2 linked regions of the Cricetulus griseus genome follow. The protein of the gene in region 1 purifies or fractionates together with the protein of each later gene. This does not show direct contact. Links are inferred from orthologs where the notes say so. Each region holds a gene or a part of one and is shown on either strand. Other genes may lie near its edges.

Region 1 (3,500 bases):
AGACAAGGGGGAAAGCCAAGCCCAAACACCGCTCCAATGTCTCCCTCTGCAGGTGTGGCCAGGATCCCTTCCTGCAGGCACAGGACTGCCTCATTCACGAACCTCATTATCACACGGTATTGGATGTCTTCATCAGAGGAGCTGAGGAGAAGGAACAAGAAGGAACATTTAGCCAGAGAAACAACAGGAAGAGCTGGAGTGCAGCATGTGGGGTGCGGGTGAGCCCTAGGGAACCCAGTGGCCAGGAAGGACCACACCATCCTGAAAGATGACACAGCCCATCTCCTGGAAAAAGGGGTGGGACTTTCCCTAACTGGTATGAACACCCAAAATGGTCTGGCACAGAAAAAGTGCGATCATTTCCTGACAGCAACATCTGTGTATTTCCAAAGCTAACAAAGAGCAAGGGGGGTGCAGGGCAATGATTAACTTCAATGTAAGGGGGGGGGTGCAGGCGCCTGCATAATCCATCTCTCACCTTCAGTCACCAGACTCAAGCATCTTAGAGGGGGACTGAATATAGATCCCAGTTCCTTCACTGCCTTGCTGGGTAAATTTGGGCAAATGGCATAATCTCGCTGAGCTCTGGTTTTCTTATGATTGTGTCAAAGTCTAGAAATCATCAGTATCTAATCTTAACATCACAGTCTTAAGAAAGGCACTTGAAGCCAGTGGTGGCGCAAGCCTTTAATCCCAGCACTTGGGAGGCAGAGGCAGGCAGATCTCTGAGTCCAAGGCCAGCCTGGTCTACAGACAGAGTTCCAGGACAGCCAGGACTGTTACACAGAGAAACCCTGCCTTGAAAAACAACAACAACAACAAAAACACAGGCAAGGTTTGTCGCAGGCTTGGCCCACTCTCACCTGGACACTTGCACTGAGAGTACATGCAGGGCTTTTAGCTGTATAGTGTTTTGCCAGCTTCGGGCCATAAAGAGAACCAAAAAGGGGCCTCGGAGCTTTGAGCTACCAGAGAAATCATTTCTGTGCAAGCAGTCACTGGATCAACTTACACCTCAGGCTTGGCAGCCAGCCTCAGGTTTACCAGGATCCCATCCATTTCAGAGTTCAAGCTCTTATTCTTTGATCCCTCCTGATAGATGTAAAAGCCCTTCCCAGACTTGCGACCTGAGAGAAGAAAGAGACTGTGTTAGTCATTGCCCTTCACCCCAGCTGAGAACTCCTGTCTTCTGGACACTGTGAGCTTCTAGCATTCTGCTGCACTGCTAAGTGCCTGCGTCCAGCCAGCTGAGCCATTCAGTCCAACTGACAGAGAAGAGAGGAAGCACCTGGTGCATGGAAATCTGAATACGAACAAGAAAATCCACCCCTATCCCACCCCCAGACCTCAGTGTCCAGCTAGAGGCCTAGGCCCTAAAGGTGATTTTACTGCAGTCTTAATTGTATGTTCTGAATAGAAAGGTTGAACTCCCATGGGTGGCCAGACCACAGGGTTAAACCTGGATACAGAACTTGCTCCTATAGTGCCAGACCTTGGCAGGAGGAATATGGTGATCTATCTGGCATACATGGCAGAGCCCCATAAACCTAGACTATGCCTTTCCCCCTAATCTGCATGCTCAGCCTAAGAGATTCTCTATGTCCAGGGCTCTGTGTTTAGGAAACTCTCTCCTCCACACACTCTGCTCTCAGGCAGCTGCTCACAACTCTGTAAGTAACAGAGTTTACGCATGTCACCTGTGCTACTCACCCAAGAAGCCCTTGGAGACCATCTGCTTCAGCAGTTCCACGTTGCCACCTCCGAACCGCTCCCCAAAGGCTTTGCCTAGGTCTTCTGCTACATGCTGTGCTACATCCACACCGACTTCATCCGCCAGGGTGGCAGCGCCCACAGGAAAGCCGAAGCCTGTGGTCAAGGCGTCCAGCTTCTTAGGGTCAACCCCTTCCTGAGCAGGAAGTAAAGCAGGGGCTCAGAGCACAGCCATCCCCCACCCCCACCAGCACCAGGGTTGCCTGTCCTGAACAGGAAGTAAAGCAGGGGCTCAGAGCACAGCCATCCCCCACCCCCACCAGCACCAGGGTTGCCTGTAATTACCCACAGACATAGCCTGTGTGAAACCCACTTCTTTCCTTGGACATCACCTGGCCAGGTCCAGAACCAGCCCTTCACCCAGGAAAGCGTAAGCACAAACCCAGAAGCTTTCCCACGCCCTTTAAGAAAGCTTAGAGACAACCAGATCACTCAGTTCTTGCTTGTGATTCCAAATCTTAGGACTAAGGCAATGCCATAGCTACCAAGACTGGGAATGCTGGCATTCTGAGGCTAGGGAAGTGCCATAGAATGATCTGGATGGCCATGGAGGTAGAGAGAGAGAGAGAGAAAGAGAGAGAGAGAGAGAGAGAGAGAGAGAGAGAGAGAGAGAGAGTGTGTGTGTGTGTGTGTGTGTGTGTGTGTCTGTCTGTCTGTGAACATGCACACATGTGTGTGTGTGCATAGCAAAGCAGATACAGTGGTAGTCAGGCCAAGCAGGTTCTGGTCTGAAAGTCTCACCCCAGGGATATAAAAGCCGTGTGTCTGAGATTCTGGAAGGCCTTTGGCTCCTGCAATGCTCAGGAAGCTAACAGAGCAGAATTAACATTCTGCTTATTGGGCAGTCTCAGCCCCAAGGGAGGCACAAAAGGGCCTCCAGGGAAAATCAGTGGTATATTCTAGGGGAGCCTGTCCCTCATCTGGACATCTTCAGCTTGGAGAACAGAGTGAAAGATCTGACAAGGTCTCAAGCATTCCACAGAACAATACACACCTGGAGGATTCGTATGACTTCAGACATCATGGGAGCAAGACACCTGGTGGTGTAGAAGCCAGGTCCATCCTGCCGAGAGGAAGAAAGCTAATGGCCGGCCAGCCCTGCTTTGGTTGAACTACCCATGTCCACACCCAGTTTCTCTTTCCCACACTTCATTTCATGGTTTCAGCTGACTTAAAACTCTCAGAACGCTCATTGTTACCCTGGAAAGGAAGCCATCCTGAACAGTGTGGGTTTCATGTAACCTTTGATGTCTGGACTCACTGGAGAGGACCTTCCAGAGCCTAGACACTACCATACCTACCCCATCTCAGCTACTATCATCTCAGAGACAACCCAGTGGTCATTGTAGAAGCTGGTATCTCCCCTCCCCCCCCAAAAAATTAGGTCACACACAATTCTGCAGGCTTAGGAAATCTGCACCTGCCCCTGTGCCTTACCTTCACCACAATGATGACTTTGCCCTGCTTGAGACCCACTGCTACGGCAGAGGCTGTGGTGTCCTTGGAGGTTTTGTCAGTCGTGATGATTTCCAGAAGCTGCATCTTGTCCACAGGAGAAAAGTAGTGCATGCCAATCACCTGGTGAGGGGCCACAGCCAAGATTACAGTGCTGCCGGGAGAACCCAACTGAGCCATGTTCCCTAGGGAGACACTGGAGAGGAAGGTCTGTGGCCAGGAGCACTGTGATCTAGTCCAAAGGCTTGGGTCTGTGGCCTCGTCATCACTTCCTC
Region 2 (3,995 bases), on another chromosome or scaffold:
CAAGACAGGAGCAGAAAAGGCCACTCAAGCGCTCATAGTCCACCCTTCTTCTCTCCCAACCACCCACTGACCTCCAGTAGTACCTGAGCAGGTATCTAGCCCCCGGGGGATCCCCATACTCCTTAGAGGAGAACGTTCTTTGGAAGTCTAGATCGGTGCTGCAGGAAAAGGCTCAGAGGATTTAGAGCTCTAGGGAGGACTGCGCCATCAGGGGCCACCAGAGGGCGCCTGGTCCTTGGAGTCCAGGTCTGGTGGTACAAAACCAGACAGGACCCTGAGCTTGGCTGCCGCTTGGGCTCCGGCTATCCTGGCGGCCACCCTGCTTCTCAGTCTATGTGCTAATACTCTCTTCAGTGCCCTGGGGCTTGTAGAGACTCTCTCTCCCACTCTGAGGGCTATGAGGTGCAGCCCAAGGGGGTTCCAGGGAAGCAGGGCACGATTTCTGAGGTGCACCAATAGGGATGGTGGAAGAACACAGCCCCCAGCCTTGCATACCAATAAGTGGGGTGACCCTGAACAGATGCTGGACTCCAACTGGTATGATAGCAGTAATTCTTCAGGGTACCCACACATCCCAGCTGGATGGACAGTACTCGCAGCCGACAAAGACATCACCGCATTTTACTTGTCTTGAGTTCCTAACTCCCACATTCCCCAACCCTGGGCAGAAAGACCCAGAATCTCTGGAAGGCCACATCTCTGCCTCTTATTTTACCCTCTCAGTGCCCTTGTCACTGCCCACACTGCCAGTCCCTGCTGACACGGGCACAGTAGCAGTGGGTGGGTACACGCTTAAGAAGCTCCTCAAGAAGGCATTAAGGCGGGTGGGCCTGGCCATGCCATGGGAAGCTGTAGGCTGGAAGGTGTCAGACTGGTGTGTGTGGGGATCTGGAGTCTGGCAAGGATCAGAGGCAGGCAAGGATGCCCGGGGTTTAAGTTCCTATTTATGTGTGTTTGGAGGAGGGGAAAGCAGGACACCTTCTGTTGCCAGACACCCAGGTGGACAGTGCCCAGAGAAGTGCAGGAGGTGTGGCCTTGACATAGCAGGGCTGTCTGCAGAGAGAGGCACAGAAAGGCCTGTACTAGGGGTATCTGAGGGGCAGCTAGCCAAGAGACTGGGGCCAAACAAGGTATCTCTGGGTTCTGTCTCTCCCCAGAGCCTGGCTACTTACTACCACTCCCAAGCAAGGTAAGGCCACAGGCTACCCACTCTGGGTGACACTCCTGATTTTCCTCATTCAGAGTGCCCATGGTACCACTTGAGCTTGGCTTCTAGCCTGCAAGCCCCTTCAGTTTCAGAAGAACCCTACAGCGGGAATTCCCTGCTCACCAAGGCCCTGGTGTTGCACTTATCCAGGGGAGCTCCACACACATTGAAGGGTGAAGCCTGGGGCTGGGGAGGTCCTTAGGACATTGCATCGGCGCTCCAAGCTCATAAAGATTCGGTTCCCAGAGCTCCCGAGGCAGCGGGGAAGGGAAGGGAGGGGAAGGGCTGCTCCCAGCAGCTGCAGGGCCGAGGCTGCCGCCAGGAGGGCCGCTCTTCTTACAAAGAGATGACAAGGCCCCTGGGCGGGATCCAAGACGTCGACCACCTGCAGCTGGGCTCGTAGCTCCAGGCGGCCCCAAGTGCCCGGCCCGACCACGAGTGCGCAAGGGCCCGGGCGCTGGAGGGCACAAGTTCCTGGGTAGGAATCCCAGCGAGCCCTGGGGTCGCCTGAAGCCCACAGCGGGCTCACATTTCCCTGGAATTCAGGCTTGCAGGATAGGATCTCCTCCCATAAATCCCACTTAGGCTGCTCCCGCCGTGGACCCGCGGGAATTCCTAAGTAGAACCTTGACGCCTCTGGGAGAGGTCCGCATAGAGAAGTTCCTAGCCCGCTGCCACCGGGAGCTGTGCCCCGACAGACCGCCCCACAGCTACCGCTTGCTCCGCCACAAGGGCGGCAGGCACGCTGCCCCGGAGCTGGGATTGTCGCCCCACAGGCACATTGGGCCAAGCCAGGGGCTGAAGACGCCCAGCTCCAACCCTGACCCGAAGGGAGTGCACCGCACTGGGGTCCACTCGTCCCTAGCCGGGCCAGAACAGCGCTAAGAGGAAGGGGCTCCAGCGCGCAGAGACTGGGAACTGGGAAGCAACAGAGCGGATCGGAGCTCAGGGGCGAGGGCCGCGGGGGACAGAGCAGCGGAGGCGCAGGAGGCCACTCCAAGTCTAGGTGGCGGGTTCTGGCGCCCGGGGCTAGCTGCGGCGGGGTCAGGGGCCCGGAGCAGACCTCCTCCTCCTCCTCCTCCTGAGTGCTGGGGTCCGGAGCCCCCGGACACTGCCGCGCCCTTACTCACCGGAGATCTCTGCCTGGGGCACGTCGCTCAGGCTAAAGCCCTTGGCCCCGTAGATCTGACGGACTTCGCTGCAGCTCCGGCTCTTGCTGGCGGGGTCCCCGCGGACGCAGGCGACCAGCGCGGCGATCGCGCACAGCAGCCACCAGCCTCTGGCCCGGAGCTCCATGGCGGGGGCCCGTGGCTCCCCGGCCGCCCGCCCGCGCGCGCTTCCCTCCCTCGCTCCCGGCCGGCCGGCCCGTTCAGCCCAGTCTGCGAAGGGCAGAGCCAAGGTCCCGGCGCGCGCGGCGGCGGCGGCGGCGGCGCTCGTGGTCCAGAGGCGCGGCGGCGGCGGCCGAGGAGGCGGAGACAACAAAAGCCGGCTGCGACTGCGGCGCGAGGCGCGAGGCGCGAGGCGCGCGAGGTCCAGGCGCTCAGTCGGGCCGCCCAGAGCGCGGCGGGCGAACGCGCAGTCCCGGCTCAGCGCCTCCCCCGCCGCCCGCCCGCCCGCCCGGCCCCACGGCGGCCGCGGAGAGGGGCAGGGAGGGGCGGGGAGCGCGGCGCGGAAGAGGGGAGCGCCCGGGCGGGGCTAGGCGGGGCGGGGGGCGCGGGCGCGGTTGGGGGCACGATCGGGGCGCACCGGGCGCTCCTCTGCTCTCGGGAAGGAGGAGGAGGAGGAGGAGGAGGAGGAGGAGGAGGAGGCGTGCAGGCCCTTGCAGTCCACGCGATGGGCTCGGTTGCTGGGGAGGAGGGAGGAAGGGAGGGGGGGAGCCAGGAATGCAAAGCGGAGTCCAGGGTCCCCGAAGGTGCCTCCCCCAGAAGCCCAGTACTCAGGGCGGAGGCACCACCTGTGGGGGCGGGGGCGGGGCGGGGGGGACCGCTGAGGCAGGGCTTCCCTCGCCGGACGTGACATCACGTCCTCCCCGGCCAATCAGGGGTTTCCCCGCCCCCTGCCGAATTCGGCACCCCTTTGCTCTTCTCCATCCTTAAGCGTACCCGGCTTTCTCTTTCAGGGCTTCCACCACTCTGTCCTGGTCTCTCGCTTCCCTGGTCACCTGCACACCCACACCCCCAACAGCGCCCACCTCCCTACGCCCTTTCTAGCCGCTCCTGCACGGCTCCAGTTCTCATCTGATGTGTTTTGGAGGAGGGTGAGGGGGCCGAAGGCGGGAAACTGGCCAAAAAACTAGCCTTCACTAGCTCCGATGACTTATATGTTACAGATTGTCAGCGGGTGTTCTGGTCCCCTCTTCGTGATTCTTTAGGTGCTTGGGCGACAAAAGCGATGGAGCAGAGGCAGGTCTGTGGGCTTGAATGCAGGGTGGCAGATGACCTCTGGAAAGGAGTGGAGTTAGGAGACCATGCAGGACAGCTCAACCCCAGACGTGTTGTGCAGGACTGCCAAGCAGAGCTGCAGGGATGATGGCGGAGGAGGGGAGGGTGCCTGGCACCCCACCTGGGGGCTGGTGGTGCTTGGTTTGGACTTTCTTGCTTGGCTGCTGCCAGTGGCACTGTCCCTTTCTGCTTTTCCTTCTGCCCTGTGGGTAAAGGCCCCAGAGGCCATCATAGCTGAGGCCAGACTGAACCCAGATACCGAATCTGGAAATGGGAAGAAAGCAAGCGAACTGGCTCACTTGGTTGAGAGTCATAAGATAATGCCTATGTGACAGACGAGTCCAGGG

The links. The genes of interacting proteins can lie anywhere in the genome.
Region 2: the proteins of Hadha (region 1) and Gpc1 purify together in Homo sapiens (co-immunoprecipitation; 3 studies listed by BioGRID and IntAct, with this or other methods). This does not show direct contact. The link is inferred for Cricetulus griseus from reciprocal best matches to the Homo sapiens genes HADHA and GPC1.

Annotation. Positions count from the first base shown.
Region 1 is NC_048600.1:14,156,794-14,160,293, reverse strand, and holds part of Hadha (trifunctional enzyme subunit alpha, mitochondrial), read right to left. Parts: intron 3,349-3,500; coding exon 3,208-3,348; intron 2,834-3,207; coding exon 2,765-2,833; intron 1,907-2,764; coding exon 1,711-1,906; intron 1,128-1,710; coding exon 1,013-1,127; intron 142-1,012; coding exon 1-141. UniProt on the Homo sapiens protein: Mitochondrial trifunctional enzyme catalyzes the last three of the four reactions of the mitochondrial beta-oxidation pathway.
Region 2 is NC_048595.1:444,321,243-444,325,237, reverse strand, and holds the start of Gpc1 (glypican-1), read right to left. Parts: upstream 2,801-3,995; 5' UTR 2,504-2,800; coding exon 2,338-2,503; intron 1-2,337. UniProt on the Homo sapiens protein: Cell surface proteoglycan that bears heparan sulfate. Binds, via the heparan sulfate side chains, alpha-4 (V) collagen and participates in Schwann cell myelination.